Sus scrofa: one gene and its partners. The main gene of each other region encodes a partner of the protein of the gene in region 6 in a complex. Links are inferred from orthologs where the notes say so. Each region holds a gene or a part of one and is shown on either strand. Other genes may lie near its edges.

Region 1 (4,201 bases), on a different chromosome or scaffold from region 6:
AGGGGCACTGGGCTGGGCAAACCTCCTGTATGAACCGGGGTGGTGTATGTGTGTGTGTGGGCAGATGTGGAGGTTGTAAAAACATGCACAATCTTGGGGGCTGTGGGGTATCCAGGGGCTGGGGTGGGCCTCAGGGGACTAGGAAAACAGAGATGAGTGCATTTCATAAGCAGTGGGAGCTATGCCAAGCTCCTCCCAAGCTAACAATCCCTTTAGGTCCTCAGCTAATCCTCTAAGACGGGGACACTTTATTATTTCCACTGTACAAAGTGGATAACTGAGGATCTAGGGCATTAAGTTGGACATGGCCCTGAGTCAACTGAGAAAACTCCCTGCAGTTGATCACACAAACACCTACGAACCATCTCTTAGTAAGTACGAACATCCTGGGAACCGAGCGTACCCAAGACCCTGTCAAGGCCTCAGTCTCCCCTTGCTTCTGCCTACCTGAATTTTTTTTTTTTTTTTTGCTGCACCCCCTCAGCATATGAAAGTTCCCAGGCCAGGGACTGAATCCAAGCCGCAAGAGTGATCTGTGCTACAGCTGTGGCAACGCTGGATCCTTAACCCACTGGGCCTGGGATCGAACCCGCGCCTCCGCAGCGAGCGACCCCAGTCACTGCAGGGACAACGACGGATCCTTAGTTCGCTGCCCCACAGCTGGAACTCCTGCCTCGCTGGATTTTTTTTTTCCCCTTAATTTTTTTTTATTACTCAAATGAATTTATCACATCTGTAGTTGTATAATGATCATAACAATCTGATTTCACAGGATTTCCATCCCACAGCCCAATTACATCCCCCCACCCCCTAAACTGTCTCCTCTGGAGACCATAAGTTTTTCAATGTCTGTGAGTCAGCATCTGTTCTGCAAAGAAGTTCAGTCTGTCCTTTTTTCAGATTCCACATGTCAGTGAAAGCATTTGATGTTGGTGTCTCATTGTATGGCTGACTTCACTTAGCATGATAGTTTCTACGTCCATCCATGTTGCTAAGAATCTGCCTCGCTGGATTCTAAACGTCCTCCCTAGGCGGGCGTTGAGCAGAAACTACGCCTCCAGAGAGGCCTTGCATTCAAAACCACGCGAGATCTACCGAGGAGCGGGTGAGTGGTGTTTGCCCTCTTTTCGCGCAGCCAACCGCCGCTTTAGTAAGGCTCGGGCTGCCCTTGGCTCTGCCCCTCCCAAAGGTCGCTGCATTCAGGCTTTAGCTGACTACAGCCCTGTAAGGGTTGGGCGAGGTGGAGGGGGCCTGACAGCGGCGCGGCGCAGGCGCAGTGGGCACGGGTCTTGCCGAGCGCAGGCGCTGTAAGTTCGAGGGGGGCGGCAGCCATGGACGACGAGGAGGAGACATACCGGCTCTGGAAGATCCGTAAGACCATCATGCAGGTGAGACGCGCGGGGGCTGCCCTTAGTACTAAGCGAACGCTGTCCGGCGCGCGGACGGCCAGCGCGAGGCCCGAAGATGGGAACGAGCTTTTCTATGTCTGGCCGCGCGGCTCAGGGGAAGGTTCTGGCCCAGGTGGGGCCCGTATTGGGCCGGGGACAGAGGGGCCCCGCCGACCACTGCTGAGTGGCGAGTCCGAGAGACGCCGGGGAGAGGGTCAGGGTTTCGCTGGAGCTGGAGGGAGGGAATTGGCCTCGCGTGTTCCTCTTTCCGGAAAGTTATGGCACTGTTTTGAGGGCCTGATACAGTATTCCAGGATTGTGGATATGGAAGGATCCCTGGTTAGCTGGTCTCAATGCTGTCTGGTTGCCCTGACAGCGCGCCCTGGCCACCAACTTTGAGCTACTCGGGCTGATAGGCTCCAAGTCATGCCAGCTCCCTAGCTAAGCGTTCTCTGTGTGCCACGTGCTTTAGGCTACTCCACGGGAGGGGGCGATTGTGATCCCACGGAGGCTTCGGGCCTTGACTAAGACCACCCACCCTCGCCACGGCGGGGATCCTGCCTGGACTAAGCTGGGGCAGTGGCACCCATATTCTCCACCTCCTTGCAGTGCTACCCAAAGACAGGGTAGGAACAGCGTTGCTTCAGGCTGACCGTGTCGCGGGCCCTGGGTGAGAAGAGTGAGCGCTCAAGAGGGAGAGTCCGGGAGTTCCTGTTGTGGCTCAGTGGTTAACAAATCCAACTAGGAACCATGAGGTTGCGGGTTCGATCCCTGGCCTTGCTCAGTGGGTTAAGGATCCGGCGTTGCAGTGAGCTGTGGTGTAGGTCACAGACTTGGCTGGAATCCTGCGTTGCTGTGGCTCTGGTGTAGGCTGGTGGCTACAGCTCGGTTTAGACTCCTAGCCTGGGAACCTCCATATGCCGTGGGAGCGGCCCAAGAAATGGCAAAAAGGGAGGAAAAAAAAAAAAAGAGGGAGAGTCCAGCTGTGGGGTACTTGGCTGAAGAAAGGGGATTCCGGCAGAGTGGGTGGCTTTCTCTTTGTCTGGGTGGTCATCCGGTCTGTCCACTCAAAGAATCCCAGTTTCTGAGTCAGGACCTAGATCTGCTGGCCCCCAGGCCTTGGCCTGGTTTTCCAATAGCCTTCTGCCCCAGGCAGCCCAGCAGCACCTCTCCCAGACAGCTGTCCTTTTCTGCCCCAGACCCAAGGGCCTGGCCTTGGAATCAACAGCCCTCCTCACATCCCAGCCCTGCTCCCATCTTCCCTGCAGTGGCCTTGAGCACCCTGAGCCTTTGCTGTTCTCTCTGCACCTTGGTCACCTGATTCTTTTTCTCTGCAGCTTTGCCACGACCGTGGCTACCTGGTGACCCAGGACGAGCTGGACCAGACGCTGGAGGAGTTCAAGGCCCAGTTTGGGGACAAGCCCAGTGAAGGGCGGCCGCGTCGCACAGACCTCACGGTGCTGGTGGCCCATAATGACGACCCCACCGACCAGATGTTCGTCTTCTTCCCAGGTGAGGGCCTGCTCAGGGCAGCAGCAGCCACCTGCCCTGACACGCAGTCTGTACCCCTCATCCTTCTGCCTCTCTGCTGTATGTAGTGCCTCCACTGAGGCAGCCTGGCTCTCAACCCCAAAGGTAGGGGACCATGCTGGGTCACAAGCACCTTGGGGGCCCACCCTGGTGTGCCTCCAGGCAAGGGAGAGTGCAGAAAATGCCTGCTGAGCAGACCCAGAGGGCACTTTTAAGATTTACTTTATTGAATTATGTTTTACAATGTTATGTTCTTTTCTGGTGTATCGTAAAGCGATTCAGTTACATGCACATAATTATTCTTTTTCAAATTCTTTTCCGTTATGGTTTATTATAGGATATTGAATATAGTTTTCTGTGCTGTACAGTAGGACCTTGTTGTATATCCACCGTATGCATATAAGAGTTTGCATCTGAGAGTTCTCTTTGTGGCTCAGTGGTTAATGAACCCGACTAGGATCCATGAAAGAAAAAAAAAGAGTTTGTGCTTGCTAATCCCAAAATCCCTCAGTCCCCTCCCCGTTGGCAACCACAAATCTGTTTTCTATGTGTCTTTCTGTTTCACAGCTCATTTGTGTTATGTCTTATCTTCCACATATAAGTGATACCATGTAGTATTTGTGTTACTTCATTTAGGTTACTTAATATGATAATCTCTGGGTCCATCCATGTTACTGCAAATGACATTATTTCTTTTTGCTTTTTTAGGGCCCCGCCCGCGGTTTATGGAGAGTCCCAGGCTAGGGGTTGAGTGAGAGCTATGCCACAGCCACAGCAGTGCAGGGTCTGAGCTGAATCTTGTGATCTACACCACAGCTCACGGCAATGCCAGATCCTTAACCTACTGAACAAGGCTAGGGATCAAACCTGTGTCCTCAAGGATACTAGTCAGGTTCGTTAACCTCTGAGCCTCGACGGGAACTCCGATATATGTGTTCTTATTGCCATTTTATTAACTGTTTTGGGCTTGGGTTTTTTGTCTTTTTTCTTACCTTCTCTTGTGGCTTGATAACTCTTTTTTTTTTTTTTTTTTTTTTGTCTTTTTGCCATTTTTTTGGGCTGTTCCCACGGCATATGGAGGTTCCCAGGCTAGGGGTCTAATAAGAGCTATAGCCACCTTCTCCACCAGAGCCACAGCAACGGGGGATCCGAGCCGCGTCTGCAACCTACACCACAGCTCACAGCAATGCCGGATCCTTAACCCACTAAGCAAGGCCAGGGATCGAACCCGTAACCTCATGGTTCCTTGTCATATTCGTTAACCACTGAGCCACGACAGGAGC
Region 2 (3,010 bases), on a different chromosome or scaffold from region 6:
GGACAGCTGCCAGACGTGCGAAGGAGTGTTGAGTGGTGGAAACGAAATGCCTACAAGGGCAGGGTCGAGCTGCAGCCAGTAATAAAGGGGTGGAACCTGGCTCTGTATCGATTGGCGGAAGCTGGATTCAGCCTAGAATGAGGACCGGACCAGGGAGGGCGGGCGAGATCGGCCCTGCGCCCATTGCTGGAGCTGTAACTATTTAGAAGCTGGGACAAGGCCAAGGTTGGGCCTAGACGGGCGTGGGTGTAATTTAAGTTACCTGAGGAACGATTGGAGTGTGGGAGAAGGGTAAACTTTAGGGCCAGGAGTGAAAGGTTGATTGCCTTAGGGAACAAACCGCCACCCTGAATCGGCCCGTTCTCTATGGTTAATTCAAGCAGTAGTGCACAGGAAAGGAAATAGAAAGAAGGGTCAGGTGGGGGCCCAGGTTGCCAAGGCGATGGTAGAGAGGGCAGAGCGGAAAGTCAGGTGGCACATTCTGCCAGGAAACAGGCTGGAGGCGGCACTTCAGTGGTGCTTTAAAGATTCTACACAGACTGGATCTCTGCGCCTCCCAGTAACATTGTGCTTTAGAAACGGCACTTTAGCCAACAGCAGAAGTTAATGGGGGAAAGAAGGGCCACGTGACTCAAAGACATTCAGGCTCTTTAATGTCAAGGGAGGTAGGAAGAAGTCAGTGGCGAGGCTCGGGGAAATTCTGCAGACCTTGTAGTTCTCTAAGCCCCTGAAAAAGAGAACAGAAGAGATTGAACGGAGACTGGGTCCAGGCCCCACCTCAGGCTTGCTTGGAACTCCCTTCCCTCAGAGCCAGCCTGGTTCCTGTCTGACTCATTTGGAGGGAAAGATGGCCCTTCCCATCTCTGGCTCTCTCCCTTCCTCAGGACACCACCCTAAATATTTGGAGATAGAGTCTGGGAGTGGGGTGAGCTGCTCTCACCTCTAGCAACATGTGGATATGGGCCTTGATATTCATGGAGTCCTTGGTGAGGCTGTCGCTGAGCCTGGAGAAAAGAAACGAGAAAGGGCGAGGTGGGCCCCACTTAGGATCCGTGAGGATGATGTGCCCTCACCGCTTCAAGAACCGCCTAAGTCCTGGATGACTTCCACACGGCAGGTGGTGGGACCCCTACTACCTGGCCTGCTCCTAGGCAGACATGCCTGGCCGCCATCTGCACTACACTGATTCCAAGACCTTTACTGAATGCCTACTCTATGCCAGGTTGTTTTAGGTACTGGGGAGATAGCAGCAGACATAGCAAACGAAAATCTCGGCCTCTTGGAGCTCAGATTCTCATTAAGGGGGACAGATGATGGAGTAAAATATGGAGTATGTCAGATGGTTAAAATTATAATGAAAAAAAAATTAAATGAGAGAGGATATGGGAGTACAGGAGTGGGGGCTGGAATTCGAATTAGGGTGCTTAGGGATGGCCTCACTGAGAAGCGTTTGAGTAGAGACTTAAAACAAAGAAGCGAGTCATGTGGACATATGGAGGATGTGTGTTCCAGGCACAAGGGGTGGAGAGTGCAAAGGCTCTGAGGTGGGCGCGTACCTGGCATGTCTGAGGCCCAGCGAAGAGGCCAGTGTGGCTGGAGAAGAAAAAGTGAAGTGGGGAGGTAGAGGAGGCGAGGTCACGGAGGTAAGTGGGGGAGATAGTTCGTGTAAAATCTACCAGGCCATGGTGAGGACTCTGGCTTTGACTCTAAGTGGGATGGGAGCAAGGGGAGTATTGTGATCAGAGAAGGGAGGTCAAATGACTAGGGTTTCAGAGGATCCATCTGGCTGCTGTGTGGAGAACCGACTGGGGATAAGGACAGCTGGTGTGGAAGAGGAAGGCCACTGCAGAGGCTGTCGGAATCGTCCAGGTGAGAGATGCAGACTCGGACCGCAGTGGCAGCGGTTGAGGGGATGAGAAATGATTGGAGCTGGGATACTTCTTTGAAGGTAGAGTCAATAGGATTTACCAAAGGAGGATGTTGGATGCAAGAGAGAGAGGACTCAAGGAAGACACCAAGGCTTAAAGCAACTGGAAAGCGGGACCACTCTGGCTCTGGGCTGTTGAGCTACGCCAACCAGCCCATTCCTACCTCCTGACATCTAAGCCAACTGCGACCAGGCTCACCCAAAAGAAGCCTAAGTGATGCAAAGGATAAAAGAAGGCCTTTCTGAAGAATGAGTAAGAGTTAAACAGGACAGTCTTTCACAAGAAGTCCGAGAGGCCGGAAAGAGCTTCTAGAGGAGCAATCAGGAGGCCAGTGTTAGAAAGTAAGTGAATGGTGGAAGGAAAGTGGCACAAGATCCAAGAGGTAGGCAAGGGCTAGATCATGCACGGTCTTGATATCCTGATAAGGAAGGTGGATTCTATTGTGCCGAGTTATCCTGTCAACGTAAGAGTCAGTTTTGGGGAAACTAAATACTGTTAAGAAAAGTAGAAGGCAACGACATAGGATGTTAAATTGGAAAAAAAAAAAAGAGTGTAAACTCATTTATGTATCACTATCTCCCCCCAGTTTTTCTATTTTGGCTCCCCCGCAGCATATGGAGTTCTGGGTTAGGCATCAGATCCAAGCCACAGCTGCTATCTATGCTGCAGCTGCAGCAACACTGGATCCTTTAACCCGCTGTGCCGGGCTGGGTATCGAACCTGCAGCCTGGTGCTGCAGAGATGTGGCCGATCCTGCTGCACCACAGCAGGAACTCCACTATCTCCCAAATTTGTATTTTCTTCTTTGGCTGGGGTGGGGGCATGCAGAGGTTCCCCGGCCAGGGATAGAACCTGTGCCACAGTGGCAACCCGAGCCACAGTGGTGACAACACCAGGTCCTTAAATACCAGGCCGCCAGGGAACTCCCCAAATTTATATTTTCAGTCCAGCCCTCTCCCCCGAACTCCAGCCTTGGGAGTTTTAATTACATCTTCAGAAAATCTACTTCATTGTTTAATAAGCATCTTACACTTACTAGGTCCTAGACTGAACTCCTGATCTTGCCCTCCAATTCCGCTCTT
Region 3 (3,765 bases), on a different chromosome or scaffold from region 6:
CCCACAGTATACAAAACCCATCCAACAGCAATGACAGTGCCGGAGCCCTAACCCAGCTAGGCCACCAGCAACTCCCACCATTATTCTTATTTTGTGTGTGTACATTCAAGTTCCCAGAAGCCTAGTAACTGTCTGGTCGAAGGGTAAAACACATTTAGAATTTTTATATACACTGCCAAAATACACTCCAAAAAGCTGGAGAAACCAGAATTGCCCTTTATTCCACTTCGCTAATATTTTTAATATAAACCAATCTGACAAGGGTTATTTTAATTATAATGTTAAACATAATTTGGTGGTCCTTTTACTGACATTTCCATGAATTTCCAATGTCCAACTTTTCACTGGTTTGTTCAATTTTTTATTAGTAAGAACTCTGTGTTAAAGATACCAGCCCTTTAACATATATGTAAACATATATTCCCTTCATCTTTAAAAGCCTATTTTTTTCATAGAACTTAAACTTCTTACATAGTCCAATTCATCATTCATTTGTTGTATTATTTAATTTTTAGAAAGACCTTTCCCTACTACATAAAATCATCAATTATTACCCTACATTTTCCCTTTTATTACCTTAATAGTTTTAATTTTAGATTTAAATTTTGACTCACCTAGTTTGGGTATACGATATTAAGTCTGGATCTAATTCTGTTTCCTTCCAAATACTAGACAGTTGTTCTTATCACCATCTACTAAGTACTCCATCATTTCCTCCTGGCATATTGCTCTGATACACCATTCTATCATTTGTGATTTTCCCGTATGTTTTATACTTGTTCCATTAACTATCTACTCCTATACCAATATCACACTGTTTTATTATAATATCTATAGTGTCAATCTATCACATAATAACTTTCAGTTCAGTGAACTAATTTCAAACATACTTTCAGACTTACTTTAGGAAATCGTGAAGATAATTCAGTAATAAAGCAAGGCTCTTCTCATCCAGAGGTGTATAGGCCAACATTGCTCCAATTCGTACTATTTAAACAAAAGACTTTAGTCAGAGTTACATCCATGGTAGCACTATAACAATATATCCCAATTATGGGACCACTCATTTTAGAAACTGACCTTAAGTAGATTGTTATACATTAAAGCTCAAGTTGAAATGTGATAAAATGTTAATTTATGTTACACCTGGATATAAATTAGGTAAGACATAAATATTTAAAATCCTCTTACCAAATAATCTCAGTAGATGTGGTGCTCCATACACCTGGGACATGGGCGCATCGGGGTGATCGGCGAGAATTTCAGCATACTGTGGTCTCTCAAACTTGTAGAGTAGCTGAGTGCCCAACATTACATTGAAGTATTCCTTTATCCCTGCCACAACTTCATTAACAGCATACTCCCTGATAAATGAACAAAAATATTTACTTTCAAAGCAGGTCACTGAAAAGAACTGAGAGATGAGGATGAGGTCAACCAACATGAGGACTAAAAGGAACTGAGAGATGAGGATGAGGTCAACCAACATGAGGACTAAAAGGACTAAAAGGAATTCAACCTCTACTGAACATTTTAAAAAGAGGACAAGAAACCAATTCCAAAAATAAACCAGCTGAAAGCAGACTACAGACCTCAGGCTAGGGATGGTTTTTACATTTTAAAATAGCTGTATTTTAAATGGTTCTATATGTACTTACATACAATAGCTTCAGTTTTTACCTGGAACATTTACTTACCCAGCCCTTTAAGAAAAAGTTGCCCAGCCAAAGGCCCTGTGTCAAAGCAATGAAATTCTATTTTGCTAATTTCTGATGGTACTGATTTAAAGTACGTGTTTCAGATAATTTATTTAGAAATGTCTGAAATATCCTTGGGTACACTTCAAAGACATTTATGTTCTTACTTATTATCTGTGTTTCCTCGAGACTTTTTGTAATTTGCATAATCCTCTAGAATGGAATCCACATTCTTCTTGGCAGGAAGATAAAACAGCTATGGAAACAAAAAGACACTTTAATACTAATATTTCCTTTTTTCAAAAAAAAGAGAAAGATTACTGGAAAAGCTTTAATACAATAAAAAAATCACCTAATAGTATGACAAAACAGAAAAGGGCACTGTTCTGCACTCAAAACATGGCTAAGAAACTAAAAATTTCATTTTATTTCAATAGCCAAATGTGACTAATGGTTGCCATACTGGACAGCACAGCTCTAAAGACTGGTAACCAATGTGCTGGACACACTACACTATCACTATATATGGATCGTACCCATACATAAACGCACCACTGTGTTAGTACCAAGTCATCATGCACCGTATTGCATAATGTGGCAGACGCTATCTTAAGTATTTAAATATTTTCTTCACCTCACATCAATACTATGAGGTAGGGGCTCATTATTACACTAGAAACATGAAAACTAAAACATGAACAGGCCAAGTAACTTGCCCAAACTCACTGGGTGGTAGTATCAAGATAAACCTAGCAGTATAGTTCCAGAAAATACAGTGGTAGGGGTGAGGTGGGTGTGTAGCTATCAGCATTTGGCCTTTAGTGAGACACCCTTAGAAGTCCTGTCTGCCAAAAGGGAGTCCTTGGGGTAGAGTACAGTGACAAGCAGATCTCTGCCTTCTCCCCAGGGCCCTCCAAGCCCCATGGCCTCCAGCCAGCAGGTAAGCTGGGGGGCTGAGGACAGGCTGAGGGCTGGGTCCTAAAGAGCGCCAGAGCCCTTACCGCAGCTGCTCAATAGCTGGGCCCAGGCACCACCTCCACAACCAAACTGTGTGACAGTCTTCCTGGGTAGCAGTCTGTGGGCTTGGTTACCAGTTTGCTTGGCCTAAGGAGCACAAGGGTTGGCTAGGTCCTGGGACTCTTGTTCCCTCAGTGACAACAGCTGGGCAGGCTCTGGGTACCTGGCCCAGAGGGTGCTGCTAGCTGACAGGCCTCTTCCGCCAGGCCTGGGCACTGGCGGGAGGACACTAACTGGGTGCTGGACGAATGCCTTTGGGCAGGGTTATTGGTCCGCATATGGACTCCCCTCCTCTTAGCCAGGAGCTAGCCCTTAGAGGGCCAAAGTCGATGCCTGGGACTCTGAAAAAGTAAAATGAGGAGTAATGATGTCGCTTTGCTTATGGGATTTAAGTGTTAAAAGCAGCAAGGAGGCATGGAGACAGAATTTAGTGCCTCCCCTCCCCTTTCTTATATATTACATCATTACATAGAAAGTTGCAGGGGAGTTCCTATTGTGGCCCAGCAGAAATAAATCCGACTAGTATCCATGAGGATGTGGATTTGATCCCTGGCCTAGCTCAGTGGGCCAGGGATCCGGCACTGCCATGAGCTGTGGTGTAGGTCACAGATACAGCTTGGATCCCTCGTGGCTGTGGTGTAGGCCAGCAGGTACAGCTCCTATTCGACCCCTAGCCTGGGAACTTCTCCATGCTGTAGGTGCAGCACTAAACATTAGACAAAAATTAAATTTTTTTAATTTTTAAGATTTATAAAATCATGGATTTTTATATATGTACTTTTGTTTTATTCCTCTCCAGGTCCTTTCCAATGATCAAACTGTTCAGTCCCTGAATTAAAATACATGGTTCTACCTTCAACATTCAAGTCTATACTACCTATTCTTTTAAAAAATTTCTTTTCACCCTAACAAGATCATATATATATATTCCGATCTGCGTAGTGTTCAAGTTACCTGTTTTTGCCGGGTGATTAAGTCCCAGTCATCAACAAGCCATGGTTTGAGTTCTTCAGGAATCTTTACTTTAACTTCAACTCTGTTCATGAATGTT
Region 4 (4,553 bases), on a different chromosome or scaffold from region 6:
GACATTTGAGCGGGATGAGGGAGAAAGACAAGTGGATAAATAGAGAGAAAATGTTGCAGGAAGGAAAGAGCACAGGACCAGGGGGAGGAATACGCCTGCTGTGTTCTAGAAACCCTGGGAGGTCAGTGTGGCTAGAGTGAAGTGAGTGGGGTGAGAGAAATGCTGACGGGCTGAATGGGAGAAGAGCAGAGGTCTTCTTGACTTCAAGGTTTTTGGTCTGAGAAACTGAATGGACCAGCTCATCAGTGAGGGAGAAGAAAGAAGGTGGGAGGAGAAACCAGAAAGGCAGATCTGGAGTTCAGTTCAGGACATGCCCCTGGTACATCCAAATGGGGGTGTCGAGTAGGCAGAGAAAGTCGAGGGAGATCTGGGCTGAAGATACAAATTTGAGAAACCTCAGAAACCTGGGAGCGGCCTTAAAAAGCAAACAAACAAACAAACCAACCCATTCTTAGTACATTTGCTGTAGGAAAGCTAGCAGAGGGTTGGATTTGGCCATTTTGCCTATCTGGCCCTTTCCTTCACCTGGTGCTTTTTTTCTTCTTTGAGGGGGCTTTCTCAAAACACTTATCATTATTTAATAGACTAGATAATTTATTTTTTAACGCTATTAACCAGGTGTTACCTATGCCCCTCTTTTCCCTCCCAACCTCCAAGAAGGTAAGCTACAAAAGGAGGGAATCCTTGGGAGTCCCCATCATGGCTCAGCGGTTAACGAATCTGACCAGGAACCATGAGGTTGCAGGGTCGATCCGTGGCCTGGCTCAGTGGTTTAAGGACCCAGTGTTGCCTTGAGCTGTGGTGTAGGTCGCAGACGCGGCTCGGATCCCAAATTGCTGTGGCTCTGGTGTAGGCCGGCGGCTACAGCTCTGAATCGACCCCTAGCCTGGGAACCTCCATATGCCGTAGAAGCGGCCCTGGAAATGGCAAAATGACAAAAAAAAAAAAAAAAAAAAAAAAAAAGGAATTCTTTATTTACTGAGGTATTCCAGGCTCCTAGAACAGTGCCTGGTACGTGGCAGGTGATTTACTACACATTTGTTGAATGTATGCATGAATGATGTATTACTCCTGTAATTAGCAACCTACTATACAAAACAACAAACCTACAAACCTTCCGTGAGTTCCCAACCCCAAGGAGTTAGGGCCACAAACTTGGCGAGGGTTTTAAGTCCCTCAAGTCCCACCCACTTCTCCAGCCCCTCAAACCCTCAAGACCCGCCCCAACCCCCAGCCGGGCACGCGCAGTTCACTCCCCGAGACGCATCCTGCGGCCACTAGGAGACGCCCAAACCCGGCCGCCGGCGAAGCAAACACCAGTCCCACGTGACCGGCGTCGCACCCGGTGAGCGTCACGTGACGGACTCAGTTTTCCTCCAATCGTTGTGCACGTTGTGGGGATTCCACCGAAGACCTGGTTTGAGACTTACAGTACCCTATTCCCCCGCCAGCCAAACGGGCCGGCTCCATGAGCAAGCTGGGTTGCGGGGTCTCTCCAGGGTCCTCTCCTGAAGCCGGTTTGGAGAGACCTGGGCCTACAAAGTGCTCGGTCCCGGAAGTGACGTCTCCCAGAGGGGCCGGAAGTGGCAGTGGAGGGAGGGAAGATGGCGGAGGTGGTGAGTCCGGTGCCCGGGGCGGGGCGGAGGGAGCCAGGGGAGGTGGGTAGAGCCCGAGGCCCCCCAGTAGCCGACCCTGGCGCCGCGCTGTCTCCCCAGGGGGAGATAATCGAGGGCTGCCGCCTGCCCGTGCTGCGGCGGAACCAGGACAACGAAGATGAGTGGCGTGAGTGACGTCGGGGGGCGGGGCTAAGGAACCTGAGGGCGAGGGGCGGGGGGAGTCAAGCGAACCCCAGGGAGGGGGAGGGGCCTCTAGAATCTTGGGGCGGGCGGGGCGCAGATATTCACGAGGGGCGTGGCTTTTAGCCGCTGGAGATGGACAGGGCGGGGCTTGGAGAAGGGAATGACACTTGGTGACTAATGGGGGCTTGGGCGAGAGCTTCCAAGTGCTGAGGCTCAGGGATCGGGCCTGGAGGTGGAGTTCAGGTTGTAGAAGGGCGGAGCCTCATGGCCTGGCCGCTCTAAGGCCGTTCCCTGTGCTGTGCCCACAGCCCTGGCCGAGATCCTGAGCGTGAAGGACATCAGTGGCCGGAAGCTTTTTTACGTCCATTATATTGACTGTGAGTTCTGGGCCGGGATGAGGTGGGGCTAGGGTTGCGGGGGGCAGCCTCTGGCACTCCTTCCTGAGCCATCCCCACTGCTGCAGTCAACAAACGCCTGGATGAATGGGTGACTCATGAGCGGCTGGACCTAAAGAAGATCCAGTTCCCCAAGAAAGAGGCCAAGACCCCCACCAAGAACGGACTTCCTGGGTCCCGCCCCGGCTCTCCAGAGAGAGAGGTGGTGAGTAGGTCCCCTGCTTCAACTTTTCTCTCCTGCCTCCTACTTCTCTCATCTCTTGGCCTCAGTGGCTCCCAGCTGGGCAGGAGGCTGTGCCCTCCCACCCTGGCTTCAGCTCGCAAAGGATGGGGGCCAAATTGCAGATGTAGCTTCCAGAGTCCAGCGTCCTTGAGAGGGGCGGGGTTTGATCATTACACACTGAGGGGCCCCTACTCCCCTTCCCCATCCCACCACCATCCCCACCCCAGAGGAAGACCCTGGACCTATCTCTACAGCCGGCCTCCGCCCAGGCCAGCGGGAAGACCTTGCCAATCCCGGTCCAGATCACACTCCGCTTCAACCTGCCCAAGGAGCGGGAGGCCATTCCCGGTGGCGAGCCCGACCAGCCGCTCTCCTCCAGCTCCTGCCTGCAGCCCAACCACCGCTCAACGGTACCCTCAGCAATTCCAGGGACCTTGCTTTCCTCTCAGGTCCCACCTTCCCTACCTTCTGACCCACCTTTCTTGGTTTCTCTTCTGCAGAAACGGAAGGTGGAGGTGGTTTCACCAGCAACTCCGGTGCCCAGCGAGACAGCCCCGGCCTCAGTTTTTCCCCAGGTGAGTCCCCCAAACCATCTCTTTTTCCCTCCCCTTCTACCTTCTGGTAGCCCCTTTCAGGTGCATCTCACAGCTACTCCTTTTTCTTTCATCTCACCTTCAGAATGGATCAGCCCGTAGGGCAGTGGCAGCTCAGCCAGGGCGGAAGCGAAAATCAAATTGCTTGGGCACTGACGAGGTGGGTCTGGGGAAGAGGGAAGCGGGGTGAAAAGTAGGGGACAGGGGGTTCCCTAGGTGGGTAGCAATTGGAAATCAGTGTGCGCTCACTGCTGTGCCCCTGGGTTCAATTCCTGGTTTGAAAACTGAGATTCCCACATCAAGCCACTGCATGTTGTAGCTAGGAAAAAAAAAAAAAAAAAGGAGTGGACGTAGGCAGGGCAGAGAGTTCAGTGACTCGTTGGAAGATGAACAGAGTGTGCTGGGTTGAGGTGGTGTTGGGATTAGGAGTGAGGCAGAACTGGTTCAGATCAAGCATTGGGTCATCTTTTCCAGTTTCCAATGAAAATTGTCCAAGTCTTGGTTTCTTTAACTGGAAAGTAGGGGTTATGGTATCTTCCCCACTAGGAAACCCGTGGGAGGGCTGTGAGCCAGAGAGTGTCCTGCTTGAGTTGTCTCCTGTAACCTGGCGTCTTTCCGTGGCCCCGGGCAGGACTCCCAGGACAGCTCAGACGGAATACCCTCGGCTCCTCGCATGACTGGGAGCCTGGTGTCTGACCGCAGCCACGACGACATCGTCACCCGGATGAAGAACATTGAGTGCATCGAGCTGGGCCGGCACCGCCTCAAGCCGTGGTACTTCTCCCCGTACCCGCAGGAGCTCACCACCCTGCCCGTCCTCTACCTCTGCGAGTTCTGCCTCAAGTACGGCCGAAGCCTCAAGTGTCTGCAGCGTCACTTGGTAGGAAGGGTCCCAGGAGGCCGCCTTCCTAGCACCCCTGCCCTGCCCTGGCCCTGCCCCTGATTCTCCTCTCCTTCTCAGACCAAGTGTGACCTGCGACATCCTCCAGGCAACGAGATTTACCGAAAGGGCACCATCTCCTTCTTTGAGATCGATGGTCGTAAGAACAAGGTCAGTGGCTCAGGGGCCGTGGGGAGTCTTTGGTGCAGGGAGTCAAGTGAGTGGCCTTTTCCAGCTCAGGAAAGCACTGACCATTTTGGCTAACAGATCTATTCACCCCATTTATTCACTTAGGGCAGGTGTGGGAGATACAGAGTGACCAGCAATTAGACAGGATCTCTGCTGAGGGCTCACAGGAGAAGGCAGACATGCTAGGGGCTTCTTAGATCCTAGCGTGATACATGTCGTGAGACAAAGTGTGAGTTATCAGGATCCAGAGGAGGGGACCTTTGAGCCTGGGTAAGGGGGGTACAGGAATCCGAAACCATGGGTTCTGAAGGGGAGGAATGGATGGCTCTGCAGGTTCAGTTCCAGACCAGAGCAATGAAGCAAATATCATAATAAAGCAGTCACACAAGTTTTTTTGGTTTCCAAATAAGATTTATACTTATACTACGCTGCAGTCTATTACATATATAGGAGTGTCGGAGTTCCCGTTGTGGC
Region 5 (4,390 bases), on a different chromosome or scaffold from region 6:
ATGTTCTGCAATCAGGATCAGATCTTCTGATCCTTACTATACAGCAAACTTAGCTTTTTTGATGGTAGCCTAGAAGGTCAAACAAGGGGACAGGAAAGGACACAAAATAAAAAGATATGAGATGAAGGTTTTCTTCTCCATCAATGCATTTTTTTCACACACAAAGGACACCAAAGATGACAAATAACGTACAAGTGTTTTTTCCTTTCTTATGGTTACATTTTCAAATTTACCTTATTTCTGATAAACTAATTTACCCTGATTTCTGATAAACTAGTTTGTTTTTGCCTTTAAAAAATTTTAATTAAGGATAATTGCAAATGGATAAAAATGTAGAGGGAATAATATTATAAGCCTATGCGAATCTATCCTCCAGCTTCAACAATTACCAACTGAAGGCCATCTTGTTTTATCTATAACCCCACCCACTGCTCCCCCCCCACTCCGTTTTTTTCAAGCTCAGTGAATAGCTGACTTTCTGTATTTTATTATGGAAAATTTCAAACATATACCAAGAAAGCCAGTATAATTTAAGAAATCATATATGCCCATCACTCAGCTTAAACGATTAACTTAGGGCCAATTTGGTTTCATCTATACCCCTCCCCACGTCCCCCTACCGCTGAGATTATTTTGAAGCAAATCATAGATATCAACATATTTTGAAGCCAATCTCAGACATTTTACTATTTAATCCGTATTTTCATATATATTGCTACAAGCTAAAGACAATTTGAAACCATAACCACAATACCATTTTAACGTCTAAAACATCGTCATCAATTTCCCCCAAAAAATCGAATTTGAATACGACTTCAAAATATCCCGATGCATCTTAAACAGTTTTTTAAAAAAATATAGTTAATGTGTCCGAATCAGGATCCAAACAAGGCCTACTCATCGCATGTGGTTCATCTCCAGCTCGCTCATTCTCCATCTCTCCCCACCCCCATCCCCCCCGCCGCTTTTTTTTTAAACTTTTCAATATGGAAAATTCCAATCCCCGCTATTTTGAGGCAATTCCCAAATAAACTATTCCATCGGTAAAAACTGATACGTCTCTTTTATATCTCGAATTTCTTCTAGGGGAGGAGATGATGGGCAGGAAAAACACTATAATGAACGACTTTACATAATTTATGTTTTCTTTCTCTATTACGCGTTTTTTTCTCTCCATAATAACAGCTAATATCTTCCGGAGTCAGGCTTCATATTAAGTTATTAAGCGTATTATATTATATTACTTTGCATTCGTTAGTTATACGCACTAATATACAGCACACGCCTCTGAGGCACACGTCTCTGAGGTAGATACTATTATTATCACCATTTTACAAACATGGAAACCGAGACACAGAAAGAACGGGAGCCAGCCCAAGCTGGGCGTTGGCGAGTAGGCATTTGAATCTAGCTCTGCCTGATTGTGAAGCCATCAGTTAATCTTGTCTATATACGCAACGATAAGAGGAAATCGGCAACCCTTTCTCCCCACCCCCACCCCGAAACCTGAAACGAGAATCCAGTTCTTTCCAGCAGCCGACGTGTGATCACTGCCGACCCTCCAACCGCCATAGTAAAGCCAGGTTTCTCTGGCAACTGATATCCATAGGCAGACACGTCACCCTGGAGGCGGGCTTACGCCCTCTAGCCAATCACAATCGTCTTGCCTAAGTTTTAGAATGTTCCATAACCAAATGATTGGTGGAAGCCCACCACGTCAGCAATGACACTTAGCCGCAGTAAAGGCGGGTGCTAGCAACCTGCTTCTTCACGGTTAAGACTTGAGGAAAACCAATCACCTTCCTCCTTTAGTGCGGACTGTGGCCAATGACGTTCGCCCTCTTAGGTTCTTAGCCCGCCCCCCAAAAGCGCGACAGCAGTTGGGTCATAAGTCTATAGGGCAGGGTGTTCACGTGGCCTATTTTCACGACCCAGAGTTCCTCTGACCAGAGGTTTTTTCTTTTTTTTTTTTTCTTTCTTTCTTTTTTTTTTTTTTTTTTCCTGCAGGGAGGCATTATGGGTTTTTTTTCCACTGGGAAAGGAAGTGTCTACGTGGCCTGCGGAAACAGGATGGGCGGAAATGAGCTAAAGTTCCCGCGAGTGGGGAAGCGCGAGGTCAAATCTGGGGCCACGCCCCCAACCTCTTGCGCAACTCTTGGAGAAAAAAAAAAAGGCAGAGTGGGGTTTCGGTGTGTATGCTGGTGGCGGGTGGCGGCGTGCTGCGGCCGTGTGGTGTCAGGGCCACGGCGTTTGTGCGCAGGCGAGCCCGCGTGGCCTTGGGGATGGCTTATGCGCGAACGCCAGGCCTCGTGGCGTTGGAGGCGGGTGTGCGCAGGCGTGCGCCCCTAGCGTTGGGGCCGTTGTGTGTCGCCGAGCGGGTGCGTGCGCCTTCGTGTGTGTGTGTGTGTGTGTGTGTGAGTGTGTGTACACGCGCGCGCACGGATGTGTGCGGGGGCGCGCGCTCTGTAAGAATCGTTTTCTACTTTCGTAGGTTTGAATATTGTTCTGATGAAAAGGAAAATCATTAAATAGTTAAGGCAAGGCGACCGTAACTAAGATAAAGGGTCTTTGCTAGGGATATTTCGATCTCTCATCGATTTAATTTTAAACCCTAAAATTACACTTTCTTCCCACGTTTTTTTCCGTGTCAAAATCCTGTATTAAACCCTAGCCCTCCAGTGGTTAAAAGCCGAACCTTCCCGTTCCTATATTAGCAATTCCACGAAACAGTTTCTTTCCTGTTCCCTAATAACCTTCTCCCCACCTCTTACCCGCTCCCTCCCCTCCCCCCTTCCCCAAGTTTTGTACAATTCTCTTGGCACAAACAATTTTCTGCAGAGAATATCTATATACAACAGACTTCCCCTCCACTAGGGACTCCCAATTTCTGTAGGAGTTGAGGCTCTCTTACCTTTCACTCCTGATCTCCAAGCAGTGTGCTCTTCAGGCAAGTACGCGCTCAGTTAATTTTCCAGAAAGTTCTCTGGATGAGGTTTATACCTTTTGCATCTGCCACTAGATGCCGCCAAATTCCATCAAAGGATTGGCTGTTTGGTCCCTGGAATTATGGGATTCCCCCCCCCTTTCTGATTTGCTGAACTCTTCAATCTATAGAAATCACTCATATATATTTCATTGCTGGGGAAAAATCAATTTAATTTCTGTTAATTGCTCTATCAGGAGACTATGGCCCTAGATACAAATGTTTTACCTCATTTCCTTATTAAAAAAAATCACCCCTCCCATTCTTCTTTCTTTCTTGCCTTTTTTTTTTTTTGCCAGGGGTGGGCAGTCAGAACTGATGAAAGACTTGAGGTACTGGTGCTGATGAAGATTGGAAGCGTCTCTGGGGTTAGGATCTTCACTTCAAGTGCTTCCCTCACCCTTACCCACCCCCACCCCAAGTGAAAATATAGATGGCTTGTTTAGTTAGTAAAGACATACATCTTTACTGGACTTGGACCCAATTACTGAAAACTGATTTTCTTTTCCTCTTGAAATTATGATTAGGTATGTGTTTCTACCCTGTTTTCTGTAGTGGTACTGGTAAACCGTATTATGTTTTTGGAGTCAAAGACCTGATTTTAAACCTTACTCCACCATTTACTAGTTCTGAGGCCCTGGGATTTATATGCTGTGCTTTCAGGTTTTTTTTTGCATGCCTTCTGTGTTTTAGGTAGTGTTACCATATTCTTCACACAGATATTCTTTTCTTCTTCACAAAATCCTTATTAGATGGATACTAATCAAAATCAAACAAAAGTTGTACCTCTTTCAGTTATAGATCCTATACATGTGTGCATGCACGCAGGTATGCGCTCATAAATACGCACACATACACCCCCCCCCCCCCCCGGGGAATGGGTGAGGTTTAGAGCAGAGGTTCTCAAAGTGTGTTTCCCAGACTCACCGGTAGCATCATTATCACCTTTTGGGAAGTTGTCAGAAATTTATAGTCTCAGGCCTCACCTCCAACCTAACCAGTCAGAAATTCTAGGAGTAGGGTTTGGCTTTCTGTGTTACGACAGATAACAAACTGTTCTGGTTATTCCAGCGCACACCGAAGTTAAAAAGCACTGCTTTGAAGAGCAGAAATAAAATGCTTATTTTTGTACACTCCACTAGAGGGTGCTGCAGAATGTAAAGCCAAAAAAAAAAAAAAAAAAAAAAAAAAAAGTACATGTTCTATTGAGACACCCTGCATGTTCTCTGTCCCGTTTCACAGATTAAAAATTATTGTGTAGCAGAGTCAATTATTTTCTCAAGTGCATACAGAAGTACAGGAACCAGGATTGAACTTTACCTGCCCCTTGAACTCAAGCCCTTGCCAGTACTCTGTTATTCAGCCAAAACAGCTTGTCTTTCAGGGTCTCAAAATACATTACAGATA
Region 6 (3,754 bases):
CTGCACGAGATCGATGTCATCAACTCCCGCACCCAGGGCTTCCTGGCCCTCTTCTCAGGTGAGGCCGTCTGTCCACCCACCCAACCCCCGGCCCCGAGCTCCCTCTTCCCACCTGCCAGTGCCCATGGCGTCCCCGTCTCCTCTGTATCTTTTTCTCCTTCGGTGTGTGGTTTGCCCCCTCCCCACTCCTGCCTGAGTCCTTCTCTCAGGTGGTCTGACGGGGGCGCCCCTGTACCCCCTCTGCCTCTGTTCTTCCTCTCTGGGGCCCCTCCGACTCCCCGGCCCTCATGTCGCGTAGCCACTCCAGTCTGGGTCTCTCTTCCCTCTGTGCCCGGCCTCCCATCTCTCTGGGTCATCGTCCCGCCTCCGGCCCTGGATCCCTGTCTCCTCTCTGACACCCCCCACAACCGGCAGGTGACACGGGGGAGATCAAGTCAGAAGTCCGAGAGCAGATCAACGCCAAGGTGGCTGAGTGGCGGGAGGAGGGCAAGGCGGAGATCATCCCTGGCGTGAGTACCTGGCCGAGGCCACGGCAGGCGGCCCGCGGGGGTTCGCAGGAGAAGAGGGGGCGCGGGAGGTGGATTTCATGTCCCCCCCCCGATGGCCCCCAGGTGCTGTTTATCGACGAGGTCCACATGCTGGACATCGAGAGCTTCTCCTTCCTCAACCGGGCCCTGGAGAGTGACATGGCACCTGTCCTCATCATGGCCACCAACCGCGGCATCACCCGGTGAGAACGGGCGTGCTGGGTGGCAGGAAGGCCACAGGGTTAAACAGGCCAGGGCTGCGGAGCACCTCGTTGGGGAGCTGCGCTGCTGTAGTGGGCTGCCCTCGGGCGCTGGGGCCCGGGCGGCTGGCGTACTTTCCCTCAAACAAAAGCAGGCGAGCGCTCGGGGCTGGTGGGTGCCCAGCTGCACAGGCGCTCTGGGACCCAGCATGCTCTGTCTTTTCTTGTTCCCAGAGGCCTCAAGGTTACAGATTCCAAACTGTGTGCCCAGGCAGGCACGCGGGGTGCTGCAGAGAACACAGGAGTGCTGTGGGTGTTTTCAAATGTTTGAGGGACACCTCGTGACATGAGTCGGGTGCTCTGTAAACCACTCCAATTAAGTCACTTAGATCCAACTACTTAGGAATAAACAGAACAAAACTTATTCCCCTTGGCCCAAGGATGCTAAGGAAAAATTCCTGACAGAGTTCCCCTTGTGGCTCAACAAGTTAAGAACCCAACTACTATCCATGAGGATGTGGGTTTGATCCCTGGCCTCACTCAGTGGGTTCAGGCCATTAGCTGCAGTGTAGGTCGCAGATGGGGCTCTGAGCTGAGCCCGTGTTGCTATGGAATCTGCTAGAGTTCCTGCTGTGGTGCAGTGGGTTCAGGATCCAGTGTTGTCTCTGCAGCAGCGTGGCTTTGATCCTCAGTCTGGTGCAGTGGGTTAAGGATCCAGAGTTGCTGCAGCTGCAGCTCAAGTTCAGTCCCTGGCCGGGGAACTTCCATATGATTCGGGTGTAGCCAAAAAAAAAAAAAAAAGGAATCTGCTGTTTCCTGGCACCTGCCATGTGCAGCAGGGGACAGGACTGTGCCAGTGGAGCTCTGTGTCAAGCAGAGAAGCGGGACCTTGAGCCGCTAATCCCAGACATAGATCTCTAGCTAAATCCAGCCCAGCTCTAGAGGGGGAGGGATGCAGTCAGGGGCCGGCTGTGCTGTCAGGCGGTGACGCCAGCCGGCCGGGAGCTGAAGGCCAAGCGAGTGGTATTTGACCCAGTGAGTGGGCCATGGCGGAAGGGGTGGGGAGGGCTGTCCGGGTAAGGGGAATGGGGAGCCGGGCTGTTAAGAGCACCACCCTGACCGCCCTCCCTTCCCCCTCCTGCCCAGGATCCGGGGCACCAGCTACCAGAGCCCCCATGGCATCCCCATCGATCTGCTGGACCGACTGCTCATCGTCTCCACCTCCCCCTACAGCGAGAAAGACACAAAGCAGATCCTCCGCATCCGGTGCGGGTGGGGCTGGTGTCCACCCTCTTTGGCCCATGGGGACCCCGAGGTCTGAAGGGGAGGTGGCTGGGCCCGCCAGAAGTCCTGCTGGGCTGGGCATCGAAGCAGTGGCCTCTGAGGAGGTTGTGAGGGTTGGAGAAAGGCGGGGGGGTGTTGGTGACACAGCTGGGGGAGGTGAGGGGGAGCCCAGGAGTGGGAGGGTCCGGAGGCCCACCCCAGGTTTAGGCTCAGCCGGTGCCTCAGCGGCCCTTGGCACTCAGCATCCTGTGCCTCTGAGAGTGAGACTCCACGTGGCCCCAGGAGGTGCAGCAGCGCCCCTTGGGGGAGGGCTCTGCGGCAGAGTCTGCACCCTGGCTGACCGCCGCCCCCGCCATAGGTGCGAGGAGGAGGATGTGGAGATGAGCGAAGACGCCTACACGGTGCTGACCCGCATCGGGCTGGAGACCTCCCTGCGCTACGCCATCCAGCTCATTACAGCCGCCAGCCTGGTGTGCCGCAAGCGCAAGGTCAGCGGCTGAGGGCGCCCTGGGGGCTTGGAGCAGTGAGTGGAGGGCCCGCTGGTCCCAGGGCTTTCCCTGGGCCACAGCCTTTCGTCCTAGGACTTGGGTTTCAGAGGCAGGGAGCTTCCGGTCTCTGCGCTTGGTTGCTGTGTCTCCTGGCCGGACGCCCGGGAGGCGCCGGGAGGCGCCGACTGAATAGCTATTGGCTGCACTCCGATGCCGTGAAGTCCCTTTTACAGATGAGCACACCAGGGGTGGAGAGGTGGGGGCCGTGGCCGGGCGGTGGCCCTGCTGGGATTTGACCCCAGGCGACCTGGCCCCAGAGTCGTTGCTCCCGCCCCGGGGGGGCCCCCCCTCTGAGGTCTGGCACCCCCATCAGGGCACGGAGGTCCAGGTGGACGACATCAAGCGGGTCTACTCGCTCTTTCTGGACGAGTCACGATCCACGCAGTACATGAAGGAGTACCAGGATGCCTTCCTCTTCAACGAGCTCAGTGAGTATCGGCCCCGCCGCCCACCGCCGCCCGCCCGCCGGCCCGCAGAGGGAGGGGAGCCCGGCCTGGAGAGCTCGGGCCCTGCCCTCTGGGCCACACCGACCACCTGGCCTTCCTTCTCCCCACAGAAGGCGAGACCATGGACACCTCCTGAGCCCACGTCACCCTCTCCCCCACCTCCCCTGTTTTCTACCAGAGTTCTGACACCGTGACTTTGTATAAAATGGTTCCGAAACTGGGCCCACTGTGTGGGTGTGGGTGTAGGTGTGTACATACGCACGTGCTCACACGCCCCAGCCCCCAGAATAGACAACCCCAGAGTGCAGGTGGAGCAGCCTTTATTGGTGGGGGGGAGCATCTGTGGGCCTGGGAGGCTGAGGCCGGGAGTCCTTAGAGGAAGAGGAGGCCTGGGAGTAGGGGGCGGTCACAGGCCAAGGGTTGGGCTCTGGGACCCCCACAGTCAGAGCTGCTGAGGCGGCAGGGCCCGCAGTGACAGCTGAGAGCCACGGGGAAGGAGACCGTTGGGTCCACGCCAGGCGGGCAGCCAGGGAGGCGGATGGAGGCAAAGCTCAGCTCTCGGTAGGTGCACACCGGCTGGGGCACGGGTGGCAGGGCAGCCGGCAGCACCCGCACCTGTAGGGGGTGGGGGCGGGGCTTGGGTGTCTACCTGGGGCCCAGCCCTCCCCCAAGGTCCCCCCTCAGTACCCCACAGACCCCAGACTCAGGTGTCCAGGGGACCCTCTGTGTTCTCCCACCCACAGGCCCCA
Region 7 (4,331 bases), on a different chromosome or scaffold from region 6:
ACATGCCATCTCCTTCCATCTATTCACACATACACAAAAACATAAGGAGGGGTGTTCCCTGGTGGTGCAGTGGGTTAAGGATCCAGCACTGCCACAGCTTCAGCTGAGGTCTAGACTGGGGCTCAGATCTGATCCCTGGCCCGGGAGCTCCATGTGCTTCAGGACAGCTAAAAATGGGAAGAAAAAAAAAAAAAAATACATTCAAAAATGGTAAGGATAGTTATTTCTGGATAGTAGGATCATGGATAATTTATTTCTTATTTTGTAATTTTTCTTGTGTTTTCTACATTTTCTACATTAACGTGTATTATTTTACATAATAAGAAAAAAATCAGTAGTTCCTGCTGTGGTGCAGTGGAAACAAATCTGACTAATATTCATGAGGATATGGGTTCCATCCCTGCCTTGTTCAGCAGGTTGGGGACCCAGCATTGACATGGCTGTGGCTGTGGTGTAGGACCAACAGCTTTAACTCCAATTTGACCCCTAGCCTGGGAACTTCCATATGCCAAGGGTGCAGCCCTAAAAGGCAAACAAACAGACAAAAAAAAAAAAAAATCAACAGTATAACATGTATCATTCTATGACACCCTCACTGCTTATGTTAAAAAGTCCTAAATTCTTTGTCATGCAATGACTCAGCTTGTTTTAAGGACATCTTTCTGACTCATGATTTAGCAAAACAAATCAGTCACTGCACTCCATCTCAATCTATGCTTTCCCAGATCTCCCCTCCTTTCTTGATTCTCTATATTCTATTTCTACTGCCACCTGTTCCAATCTATCCAATCCTTCAGGCTCAGCTCAAATATCTCTAATATGATCATGGTACAAATAGAAAAAATAGGCCTGTCTAATTCACAAGTTCTGCATTTAAAAGCCCTGCTCTCCCAGTTACTGACTCTGAGTAAGTTAATTAAGTCTGAAACTCATCCTGACAATAATACAGCTACTTCAAATAGCAGTAATTAAATAACAGAAGATAAAACAAGTGCCTAGTTTGATGTGTTATTTGCTTCCATCTTGCCTATGTGGCTCAAATTTGCAGCAGTGACAATTATAATATTTTTTTTTACCCAGTGTTCTCTCTGGAACAAAAAGGTCAGAGAATATTAAGCAAGGAATGGCCTCAGAACTCAATTATCAAAATTCTTCAGTCTCTTTTGAGTTTCTTTTTCTCTACCATCACTTAACTATTGATTTCACTCTTATTCTACTTCTTTGTTCACTTTCTGTGCAAACTCTAGAGGATTTCCTCCACAACCATGGCTTTGTCCACTATCCATAAACTCATAATTCTCTAATCTGAAAGTAACAGTGAAAGGTAGAAATGTAATTCAAACACAGATCTGTCTGAACCCATTGCACTCCTTACACTCTTAGCCACCCCACTTTTCCACACTTCCCTTTACCACCCAATCCCCAATCTCAATCTCCTGCTTAGTTAGTTAGGGGTCCCTCCTCTAGCAGAAGGCCCAGTGAGGACACAGAGAACAGACCTGTGGTTGCCAAGGGGGAGAGGGGAGGGAGTGGGATAGACTGGCAGCTTGGGGTTAGTATATGCAAACTATTACATTTAGAATGGATATATGCAATCTCCTGGGATAGACCATGATGGAAAATAATATTTTTAAAAAGAATGTACCTATAGGTACCACTGAGTCACTTTGCTGTGCAGCAGAAACTGGTAAAACATTGTAAATCAACTATAATTTTAAAAAAGAAGAAAAAGCCCTGTGAAGAACACTGTAAAGCTTAATGTTTGGTTTCTTTTTGCAAATGAGTCTGTGAGCTAACCTGAAAACAAGGTTACAAGGCCGTATTTCATTTATGTTTCCCCATACCCAGCAGAATGTCTAACACACGGCAGACCCTCAAAAAGTATTAGGTTCCTTCTCCCTTGCCTTTTTCCCCCTAAGAGGAATTTTCTCTTCCCCCTTCCCCCAAATCCCATAGGGCTGTATATCTCTCTTCTACCTCATACTAGCATTTTCCCCTCCAGACTATGAACTCTGATTGCACGGGTCAATTTTTAAAATCTTTATGCAGATACCTCTGCTACAGTAACTGTTTAACAAATAACTGATAAATGAACCTATAACCAAAAAAGCTGTTGTTTTAACTACGTTTTCCTTTCTGTTACGCAGATTTCTTCCCACTCCAAGTAAACACTAGATCCACTATTAGTAAATCATGATTCCCAAGCAACAAAGGGCTTTCTGATTATTTTTCAATCGTTTCCGGATGCTAGGCACTGGGGAAATGTAAGCTCGGATTAGTAAAGGATTTCTGGTCTCTAAATAAATTCAGTGCAATAATGACTCCCGAATCAAAATAGTATGGAACACTAGACTATTCGCGTATGTGAGTCACGTGGCTCTGCGGAGTGACGACGGTTTTAAACGTGGTTTCAGGGTCACGTAACAGACTACACAATCAACCCGTTGACTAACTCCCTGGGATTCCTTATGAACTGGCCTTGCTCACCCACAGCCTGTTTGAGAGTGCGGAGGCAAAGTGGGGAAAGTGACCACCCTTCTTCCCTCAGACCTGTGCAACCTCCCAGACTCTGCTTCCCTAGAGCTTCCTCCCTCCCACCCCTCGGCTCACCCAACACCCCCAAGGGGGCGTGGCTTTCACCTACCAATCCGCCTATCTCTCCCCAAGGGCTCGGCTAGCTTCTACAAGGACCTTCCCCTCTCTGGGTGGCCACGCAAATGTGCGACTATAGTAAAGGCGTACACCAACCATAGGCTTCTCCCCTCTTCTCGCATCGACTCCGGACCCGGCCGGGTTGCCCTCCTTCGCATTCCCAGCTCCTCACCTGCTCGGCTGACACCGCCCCCTTCCCCGCGCCGCTCCCGCTGCTCTTGCCGGCGCGACTGCTGCTCTCCGCCATCTTCACCGCCTGCTGAGCTTCCGGCCTGCGCAGCTCGGCCCCCGCCTTGCGTCACGTCCGGTCTCGGAGTTACCGCCCACTCGCCCCCGGCGCCAGGCTCCTCTTCTTCCAGGCCCCTGTTCGGTTCGGATCCTGTTAATGGTTTTGGCCGTGCCTTCATGTAGGACCTGCTACCTAGCCCGCCCGCCGCGGTGAATTACACCTGTGGTGCTTTATCTTGTGCAACAGAGACGCTGCCCCTGAGAGAGTCTCCAGATGGGTTAACTGGAGAGCGGGGCGCGGGTTGGGATCTGGGTGCCAGTGCCCTCTGCCCACACAGCGGGTGGTGAGGCACGGGCGGCGGGGTGGGGTAGGGTGAACTTCTCAGAGATTCTGGTGGAAGGGGGAAAATATGCTTTGAGTCAGTAAAACTGTGCAGGTGCACAGTCAATAAGAGAGGCTGGGAAAATCAAGGAAATATCTCGAGGATGACTTTTGAACTGCGGAAACGTTTGGCTGAGAAAAAGGACTTCAGTTTAATGTGAGATCACTGGAAGTCGAGATATTCGAATGCTGCGCAGAGCCCTTTCCTCGATTTTCCCACTTTGTGCTCTCTTCCGGTAGCCGTGATTAACCATAGTTAACGAGTGTCTTAAAGACTTAGGGGTTTTTACCGGTGGTGCCCAGATTCAGCCTCACAGTATGAAGAGAGAAACCAAAGGATCTTAGAAATGTATTGCTTGATGGTGGGGTTGGTGTCCTGATTTCTCACCTTCTTCAGGCTGGGCTTCATCATCAGGCCTCCTCACCAGCTCCTGTCCCTTCTTTTGGGTCCTCGGCTCCGGATACTTCGACTCTCAATACTTTGTGCTCAGCCCAGGTAACATGTTTTGTTGTGTCCTCAGTGCCTGGCACATAGTAGATGCTCAATAAATGAATAGATGTTGGGAAACATTGGGGTGCCAGCCACTCACAGAACATTTGATCAGTGGGTCCTTATTGCATGGATCATTGTGCCTTGTAAGAGCAGGTTTAAAGGGAAGTCTAGCTTTCCTGCCTCCCCCTTTAAGCCCCTTATCATTAAACTCGGGCTTCCCCACTCTAGGAAATCTGAGTCTTGCCTGTGCCATTCACAGACCCAGATCCATGGCTATTTCCTCTTCCTCCTGGGACTTGCCCCTCGTGGCTGTGTGCCAGGTAACATCCACACCGGACAAGCAGCAGAACTTTAAAACATGTGCTGAGCTGGTTCGAGAGGCTGCCAGACTGGGCGCTTGCCTGGCTTTCCTGCCTGAGGCATTTGACTTCATTGGAAGGGACCCTGAAGAGACGCTACGCCTGTCTGAGCCACTGGGTGGGAAACTTTTGGGAGAATATACCCAGCTTGCCAGGTATCAGGGAAAGGGGGAGGGAGAGGTAGTTTCTTTTTGGGTAATATCGGAATTGCCAGATA

The links.
Region 1: RUVBL2 (region 6) and POLR2E share a complex: the UniProt entries of both Homo sapiens proteins name them as parts of the PAQosome complex. The link is inferred for Sus scrofa from reciprocal best matches to the Homo sapiens genes RUVBL2 and POLR2E.
Region 2: RUVBL2 (region 6) and UXT share a complex: the UniProt entries of both Homo sapiens proteins name them as parts of the PAQosome complex. The link is inferred for Sus scrofa from reciprocal best matches to the Homo sapiens genes RUVBL2 and UXT.
Region 3: RUVBL2 (region 6) and MORF4L1 share a complex: the UniProt entries of both Homo sapiens proteins name them as parts of the nuA4 histone acetyltransferase complex. The link is inferred for Sus scrofa from reciprocal best matches to the Homo sapiens genes RUVBL2 and MORF4L1.
Region 4: RUVBL2 (region 6) and KAT5 share a complex: the UniProt entries of both Homo sapiens proteins name them as parts of the SWR1-like complex. The link is inferred for Sus scrofa from reciprocal best matches to the Homo sapiens genes RUVBL2 and KAT5.
Region 5: RUVBL2 (region 6) and MORF4L2 share a complex: the UniProt entries of both Homo sapiens proteins name them as parts of the nuA4 histone acetyltransferase complex. The link is inferred for Sus scrofa from reciprocal best matches to the Homo sapiens genes RUVBL2 and MORF4L2.
Region 7: RUVBL2 (region 6) and PFDN2 share a complex: the UniProt entries of both Homo sapiens proteins name them as parts of the PAQosome complex. The link is inferred for Sus scrofa from reciprocal best matches to the Homo sapiens genes RUVBL2 and PFDN2.

The regions. Positions count from the first base shown.
Region 1 is NC_010444.4:77,329,555-77,333,755, forward strand, and holds the start of POLR2E (DNA-directed RNA polymerases I, II, and III subunit RPABC1), read left to right. Parts: upstream 1-1,200; 5' UTR 1,201-1,331; coding exon 1,332-1,388; intron 1,389-2,725; coding exon 2,726-2,900; intron 2,901-4,201. UniProt on the Homo sapiens protein: DNA-dependent RNA polymerase catalyzes the transcription of DNA into RNA using the four ribonucleoside triphosphates as substrates.
Region 2 is NC_010461.5:42,175,511-42,178,520, forward strand, and holds the end of UXT (protein UXT), read right to left. Parts: intron 1,005-3,010; coding exon 941-1,004; intron 728-940; coding exon 677-727; 3' UTR 632-676; downstream 1-631. UniProt on the Homo sapiens protein: Involved in gene transcription regulation. Acts in concert with the corepressor URI1 to regulate androgen receptor AR-mediated transcription. Together with URI1, associates with chromatin to the NKX3-1 promoter region.
Region 3 is NC_010449.5:48,070,369-48,074,133, reverse strand, and holds part of MORF4L1 (mortality factor 4-like protein 1), read right to left. Parts: coding exon 3,669-3,765; intron 1,954-3,668; coding exon 1,865-1,953; intron 1,365-1,864; coding exon 1,192-1,364; intron 988-1,191; coding exon 903-987; intron 1-902. UniProt on the Homo sapiens protein: Component of the NuA4 histone acetyltransferase (HAT) complex which is involved in transcriptional activation of select genes principally by acetylation of nucleosomal histones H4 and H2A.
Region 4 is NC_010444.4:6,569,256-6,573,808, reverse strand, and holds the start of KAT5 (histone acetyltransferase KAT5), read left to right. Parts: upstream 1-1,589; 5' UTR 1,590-1,604; coding exon 1,605-1,782; intron 1,783-2,107; coding exon 2,108-2,176; intron 2,177-2,262; coding exon 2,263-2,399; intron 2,400-2,671; coding exon 2,672-2,827; intron 2,828-2,917; coding exon 2,918-2,992; intron 2,993-3,095; coding exon 3,096-3,170; intron 3,171-3,641; coding exon 3,642-3,890; intron 3,891-3,971; coding exon 3,972-4,061; intron 4,062-4,553. UniProt on the Homo sapiens protein: Catalytic subunit of the NuA4 histone acetyltransferase complex, a multiprotein complex involved in transcriptional activation of select genes principally by acetylation of nucleosomal histones H2A and H4.
Region 5 is NC_010461.5:84,563,254-84,567,643, forward strand, and holds the start of MORF4L2 (mortality factor 4-like protein 2), read right to left. Parts: upstream 3,052-4,390; 5' UTR 2,912-3,051; intron 1,788-2,911; exon of another isoform or gene 1,507-1,787; intron 70-1,506; 5' UTR 1-69. UniProt on the Homo sapiens protein: Component of the NuA4 histone acetyltransferase complex which is involved in transcriptional activation of select genes principally by acetylation of nucleosomal histone H4 and H2A.
Region 6 is NC_010448.4:54,260,266-54,264,019, forward strand, and holds the end of RUVBL2 (ruvB-like 2), read left to right. Parts: coding exon 1-58; intron 59-414; coding exon 415-509; intron 510-611; coding exon 612-730; intron 731-1,873; coding exon 1,874-1,993; intron 1,994-2,369; coding exon 2,370-2,499; intron 2,500-2,872; coding exon 2,873-2,987; intron 2,988-3,115; coding exon 3,116-3,141; 3' UTR 3,142-3,227; downstream 3,228-3,754. UniProt on the Homo sapiens protein: Possesses single-stranded DNA-stimulated ATPase and ATP-dependent DNA helicase (5' to 3') activity; hexamerization is thought to be critical for ATP hydrolysis and adjacent subunits in the ring-like structure contribute to the ATPase activity.
Region 7 is NC_010446.5:89,325,408-89,329,738, reverse strand, and holds the start of PFDN2 (prefoldin subunit 2), read right to left. Parts: upstream 2,959-4,331; 5' UTR 2,900-2,958; coding exon 2,825-2,899; exon of another isoform or gene 2,682-2,824; intron 1-2,681. Other genes in the region: NIT1 (nitrilase homolog 1), read left to right, coding at 3,038-3,090, 3,660-3,758, 4,015-4,269. UniProt on the Homo sapiens protein: Binds specifically to cytosolic chaperonin (c-CPN) and transfers target proteins to it. Binds to nascent polypeptide chain and promotes folding in an environment in which there are many competing pathways for nonnative proteins.